2 linked regions of the Xenopus tropicalis genome follow. The protein of the gene in region 2 binds, or shares a complex with, the protein of the main gene of each other region. Links are inferred from orthologs where the notes say so. Each region holds a gene or a part of one and is shown on either strand. Other genes may lie near its edges. The genes, in order: map1lc3c and plekhm1.

Region 1 (3,062 bases), on a different chromosome or scaffold from region 2:
TGGAAGAGAGGCGCTTGCAAGGGGTCATGATTACTCTGTACAAGTACTGTACTTTTGAGGGGATTATAGACAGATAGGGGATGTTCTTTTTTCCTATAAAAAGGACCAGTGCACCAGAGATCACCCCTTTATATTAGAGGAACGGAACTTCCATTTGAAGCAGCGTAGGTGGTTTTTCACGGTGAGGTTGTGAAATGCCCTTCCTAGTGATGTGATGGCAGATTCTTTTAATGCTTTTAAGGAGGGCTTGGGTGAGTTCTTGAACAAAAATATCCAAGGCTATTGGGAAACTAAAATGTGCAATTAGTATTAATGTTGGTATATATACTGTAGTTTATGTATGCAAGTGTATAGATAGGTCAGTATAGGTGTGCGCGCTGGGGTTCGATGGAAAGATTTGAACTTGGGTTTTTTTTTCAACCAGATTTAACTATGATCTGTTCCTGTTTATAGCCAATACAAACCAAGCTATCCCACATACATACATACATAATCAGGCAGTATATCCAGGTGTTGGATTAATTGGTAAATAGGCAAATCAGTAAATTAACAATAACTATTTTTGACACCCTCCACAGTTAAATTAAGGCAGTAGTTATTTTATGAAGAGATTTTATTTAGCATTAGGCTGACTGATTTTGTGCAGTAACCTCTTGTGATATATGTAAAACAAAAACCTCTTGATTGGCCAGAGTTTTTTCATAAACACAAATACACTATTGCACATTGGAAATACAGAAGTAAAAAAAAAAACAAAAAAACAGCCAGAAAGAACCTAGGAACCTTACAGCCCACCCTGTCCTAACAGTGAATAACCATTTGTACTGCTTCAGGTGAAAGAAGGGATGGCTTCTTTTTTTCTTTTCAGTGTTAAAAAAAGTGTCTTCTTAGAAATTCTTCTTCCCCACAGAAAACAAACTCTTCTCTGCTAATAGCACGTGCCCATTAATTTTAGCTGCATGTTATTAATACATATACATTTTGATGTGGTACCCAAAGCTGCAATACATACCCAAGCCCAGGTCTTACAAGAAATATATAGAGGCAAAAGCATTCCGTCAATGCCCTTTCTATGCAGAGAGTACTTTATGCTTCTGCAGCTACTGACTTATACTGTGCAGAGCAAAGTCTGTTATACACAATAACCCCAAATACTATTTCATGTGAAGGGGAAGTCTATCTAAAAACAAAATTGTTCTAAGTTAGAGAAAACAGTTGTGTTTAGTACTACATAGAATCTGCAAAAAAATTCTGTAAAAATAAAATATTTTAAATCCTTTATTACAATAAATTTACAAAAGCATTATCTTTTGACTTTTCTAAAAGGATGCTCAATAAATATTTAACATACATAAAAGGTTCCTTTAAGTGAAAACATTTCAATAAAAAGTATTGTACACTATAGCCATATACTTCTAAGTTCCAGCCCATGTTATAATAATGACCAAAAATGTTTAAGGTGTAAATTTAAATAATAATATAATACTAGGGTCTAGAATTTACACATGTACATATCTGGGCCCCTCTTAGTACAAAGATTGTCCTCGTTTTTTTGTGATATGCATTCAACCAAACATCTCTTGAGATGCATATGTCATATATAGGAAACCATCTTCATCCTTATGGTCCCTATAAAGCTCAGCCATCGTAAGTGACATGCTGGCAAGGCTCTTGTTATTCACAAGAAGGTAAAATGCTTGTGTAGCAGATAAGTTCATGCGATTCCTGCACAAAGAAAAAACACACATTTAAAGATTTTTTTCTGTACCCAATAAGAATCATTAGTAGTATGGTAACAGTAATATAGTGGTTATGTTATAAAATGCCTTCACATTCTGTATAATAAATGGGTGTTTATATTTAACATACAAAAGCAAATATGAAGGGTAAAGAGGGCCCTGCCCAAAGGAGCTTACATTCTAAAAGCAGGAGGCATTAGGACACCCTGAATAGAATAGGAAAATAATATACATTTCTGCACCTGCCCATAGCTTCTGAGAGATTAAATGTGCATGCATGTACCCTGAATCAGCTCATTTCTGGTACAGAAGATAAACTTTCCACAGCATCTTTTAACTTATTTTAAAAGTGAATAATCATTCTGAATAACTCCTAAAGAGAAATCCTTCATAGTATATCTACATGCCATGGCTATACTTTTTTTTTTTTTTTTTGTTTAACCTTTCCTTGTCCTTCAAGAAATCTTTCAGAGACAGAGATTCAACAAAATATGGTAGAGAATTCCAGAGAAGGGGTACAGCTCTTGCAAAAGTATTGAATGCAAGGGTGCGAGGAAGTAATGAGAGAGGTTATCAGGAGCAGGTCATTACAGCAGCATAGCAAATGGTTTGGCAAGTATCTGGAGAGGAGTTCAGAGATGTAAAGTGGGGCAGAGTTATGGAGTGCTTTAATTGTGAGGGTTATTAGTTCATATTTTATTCTGAATGGTAGTGGATTTGCCGGGTTTGGCAAAGCAGAGAAAGAATACTTACTGAGTGGTTGGAAGGCCAATTAATCAGTACTGTAATCACCGTGATATGCTGAGAGCATGGGAGAAGTGCAAGTTGGTTAGCATAGTAATAAAACAACTTGCCTTCCTCTCACCAAGAGTCCTTTCCTATGTCACAGTTCCTCCAGTAAAGGTGCAGGGAGCTGTTGTCTATCCCCAAATACTTTATTAACTCTTGTCACACCAGTACAATCATAAATATCACAATTTTACTTGTCACACGTCAGTTCCAATTCTCAGTAGGAGTTTTTTTATAATAACAGTTCCCTTCAGTTAGGTTACCACTTTTCATATTCGCCGCCAAAACTGGATCCACACTTGTTGCTTTCTAGCAATCTCACATTTTTCTCTTTCACAGCTTCTCTTTCCCAAACTCAGGTCACAAATGTGGCATTTTTCAATAGGGATGCACAGAATCCACTATTTTTGGATTCGGCTGAACCCCAAATCCTTTGTAAAAGATTTGGCCGAATACCAAACAGTTCTCTTTTGCACTTCTGTATCTATACAGAAGTGCCAAAGAGAACCGTCCACCGGTGTAAAAAAATTCCAA
Region 2 (3,832 bases):
AAAAGTTAACTTAGAGGTGAACAACCCCTTTATGTGCAAAGTACAGGGCCCACACACAAAAGTAAGCCCTGTACGAAGGCCTTAATTACAGCATTCCCCTAAATGCTATTATATTGTTTGGCGTTTCCATTGATTGGTCTAATAGAGTGGCAACATATTGAAACCACTTCATGGCTAAGTGTCTCCCTTACCTGGTGGTCGTTTCAAACTGGAAGGGGTAAATGATCTCATCCTGGTTGCAGATTTGGCAGATAAAACCTTTTTGGCTGCAAAGATCACAATCATACACATGCTTGGTGGCCAAATCCACAGCGGCTCCCAGAAACAGTTCGAATTCCCCGTTGGCAATCTACAACAGGTAATGGGGTAACGTGGATCAACAGTAATGAAATGTGAAAGAAACTGAAGCTGGCCTGTTTTGTTTTACAGGAAATAAAGTGTCTAGTTCCCCTATTTGAGCACTTTATCTTAATTAGATAATGAAAGCTGCCATACCTGCCTGAAATCCTGGACACTATAGGTGTGTGCACAATCCAGTAGGTAGGTGCGGTTATCCAGGCTGAACAAAAGAATAAGAAAATATTTATTAAAAAAGGACACATTGGATCCATAACGGGCACTGTTTCAACCCTATGTAACTAACTATGTAACATATTAGCAACAGAAGAGCTAAAAGTAACCAGTGCATGTGATTATACGTAAGACCGTAAATATGACATATAGATAGTTATCAGAATTTATTGAGATTTATGTTTGTTTCAAAGATTCCTAAGTTATGGGGATTGGGGGGAAGTCATAATATACATTTAACATAGTAGCCGAGGGTGAAAAAACCTTCACTCATCAAATCCAGCCCTTCACTCATCAAATCCAGCCCTTCACTCCAATGTCTGATGCCCCTTTGAAATCGTTAAAACCAAAGCAGGCTTGCGATAATGTATTGGGAACAGCAGGCCTATCCCATTACTCCACTAGGTGGCAATCTGATTACATTTTGGAGCAGTAACTGCTTTTTTTTTTTAACTCTGCTAATGCTTAAAGGAGTGTTTTACCTAAGGAGGGCGATATCAGGCTTATCTGAGTGGCTCTCACATTACTATGACAGGAATTAGGGATGCACCGAATCCACTATGTTGTAAATTACGCAAACCCCGAATTATTTGTACAAGATACAGCTGAATACCGAACCGAATGTGAATCCTAATTTATGTGACAAAAAAATCACATGATTTTAAAAATGTGGCTTCTGTACGGCCAGAGGCATGGATTTGGCTGAATCCGAATTCTGCTGAAAAAGGTTGAATCTTGCCCGGATCCTAAACTGAATCCTGGATTCAGTGCATCCCTATCAGGAATATGAGCTGTCAGAGCAAGGACCACATTAATGAGCCGATGAGGTATATATTAAACCTGCCCGACTGACATATGGCCGATTTTCAGCCAAATAAAGGTTGGGTAGGCAACCTTGTGTCTGCCTGCTTACCAGAGATGATAACTTTCCTTAGCTATCATTCGTTACATAGGCACAAAGCATAGAGCACAAACAATGTTAACTCCCTCTTGTTCCCTTGTTTCGGAGGTATATATTGACTTTTTCTAGTAAGGAAATCATTAAATAAGTTGTTCAATGGCACGGTCTGCAAGCATGGTAAAACAACAATGTCCTTCATGCTTGTGGCTCAATATTTTACTGAGATAAATAAGTGTCAAAAACCAACTAGATTTTCATGGATCACTCTCCAGTAAACTCCAAGAAAATCAGATCTACCAACCTTTTGCGTTTGGAACCCACTGATCAGTGGCTTTCAGTCTTTCCGGGTTGTCAAATGGCCCCTTATGGTCCATCACTGGCCAAGGCCCCCTTTACTCATTAACAGAGTTATAAATACATGAAAACTACAGCTGTAGCATGGAAAATATCTAAGACAGACATCAAGATGTCTCTCTACCTGACTGCAGTTTGTCCTTTAGGCTGGGCTTCCCGCTACCCACCTCTTGCTTAGTTCCTGAAATGCTCCACTACGACAGGTCTGCAGGTATTCTGCCAGGAGCCTCAGTTTCTCTCGGCTGTGGCTGATATTGTGCATAGTGTGCGAGTGCTGATACAGGCCGCTATTGACAGACGGCACATTTATGATTGGTTCATTGAGCACCATATTGAGGAATTTTAATGCTGGTCTCGATACCTGGTGGAACAAAAAAGGCAATGTGTTCGTACGGAGGCAAAAAAGGATGTCTGTAACCAAAGCAAGATATGTGTACACTGCCCACTGATAAACACCTTTTATTTTCTAATGCTTACAATTAAAAGTTTTCTCTCCTCCCCCCAAAAATCTTGAATACTAGATTCCGCTACTTGCAGACATAAATTCAGGCCCTCATTATAAACCCAACTGTTGGCTAGGGGGTCAAAAGATGTGGCTCAGCACTTCAGGTAAAGATCCGCTCATTTTGTGACCTAATGAGTATGTGAACCTATTTATACAAAGGTTGACAGTAATTTTTTTTTTATGTATATATTTATATACTACAAGGCTGTCCACCCGAAGGCCCTGACTCCAGATGAGGCTCTCAAAGCGATTTTTATGGCCCCCAGTCTATTTAAGAGATTTACAGACCTCTTAGTATTACAATGTTCAGCATAAGCCATTGTGACAAGTAGAAGCCACTGTTTCATTGAAATCTTCGGATGAGCATATAATTCCTTTTCATGAAAAGACTGTCCTACTCACGGCTTGCTCTGTGAGGTCCCAGTTGTGCACCATTCTTGAAGGAATGACGGAGCCCTCATCCTGATGGCACCACTCACAGTAGTAAAGTGCTGAATAAGCGCAATGTTTGGCCTTTCCAAACTGAAAACCAATCTGTTTGTGGCAAGCTGAAAAGGAAAGAATTGCAAGTTAATCTGTGTAGCAAATGTACTAAGTGCATCAAACAGGGCTGGGCAAACTGTAGCCCTCTAGGCATAGTTGAACTACAAGTCCTACGTGCAGTAGGACCACATGTAGAAGGGTACAATTTGATTGCCAACCATAAAAGAGGCTTCTCTGACCTGCACATTTAAAGTTCTGGGAGTCTAAGCCTTTCTCAGAGGGAATGTACAACAAGTACTGAAACAGTGCATGCCCCCGGATGTGGGACTTTATCGGGAAGCTAGCAGTGCCCGCCAGTAATGCCAGCTCATCTGCCAGTTCCAAGTAAACATCTCGCACCATCTCCCTCCAGTGTTTGGCCTCGCTAGAGCTCTCAGCCTGCAGTTGCAGAGAACCTTTGGACGTGACCAGTTTGAAGCAGGATGGGCTTCCGAGACTGGCATCAGGCAGAATGTCTCTCACCATCTCAATACCAAATATGTTGTGTAAAACTTTCTCAGAGTTCTTGGCTAAGTAACACCTCAGCTCCCTTTCTGTTAAGGAGAAAATGCAGCGCGTCCATTTTTTATCCATCTTCATGTACAACACAGACTCTTTTAATGCATCAGGCTCCAATTTCAATGGACAGACCCAATCAAATGACTCAGTCTTTATGCTTCCAACAGGAGATGATGGGCTCCTTTGAGGAGACAGGAGCGGGCTTTCCTGGCCTGTTTTGGGAGGGTCTGGGAACTGTAAAACTTCCCACGTGTCATCCTTCTGAGGGCGGCATTTTTGTAAGGCTTCCCGTATCCTGTCAACCCAGTCTTGAGCCTCATCCCTTGAGGGGGCTCGCAAATGGAACCTTTTCGCTGGAAAATTTAAATCAAAGCGGCCATCACTCTGCACTGGGCCAACAGATTCGCATCGTATCAGGGTGCAATTCTCCAAACAGACTCGGTCCTCTCCTTTCAGGAACA

Evidence for each region.
Region 1: the proteins of plekhm1 (region 2) and map1lc3c are in contact, whole or in part, in a crystal structure (PDB 5DPW), measured with the Homo sapiens proteins. The link is inferred for Xenopus tropicalis from reciprocal best matches to the Homo sapiens genes PLEKHM1 and MAP1LC3C. Residues at the interface, in NP_055613.1 of Homo sapiens: Glu632, Asp633, Glu634, Trp635, Val636, Asn637, Val638, Gln639, Tyr640; in NP_001004343.1 of Homo sapiens: Phe13, Arg16, Lys17, Glu25, Ile29, Phe33, Lys36, Pro38, Asp54, Lys55, Thr56, Lys57, Phe58, Leu59, Val60, Pro61, Glu63, Leu64, Ile72, Arg76, Phe114.

Annotation. Positions count from the first base shown.
Region 1 is NC_030681.2:57,421,577-57,424,638, forward strand, and holds the end of map1lc3c (microtubule-associated proteins 1A/1B light chain 3C), read right to left. Parts: intron 1,726-3,062; coding exon 1,566-1,725; 3' UTR 599-1,565; downstream 1-598.
Region 2 is NC_030686.2:37,773,663-37,777,494, reverse strand, and holds part of plekhm1 (pleckstrin homology domain-containing family M member 1), read right to left. Parts: coding exon 3,053-3,832; intron 2,879-3,052; coding exon 2,733-2,878; intron 2,187-2,732; coding exon 1,993-2,186; intron 560-1,992; coding exon 496-559; intron 350-495; coding exon 192-349; intron 1-191. UniProt on the Homo sapiens protein: Acts as a multivalent adapter protein that regulates Rab7-dependent and HOPS complex-dependent fusion events in the endolysosomal system and couples autophagic and the endocytic trafficking pathways.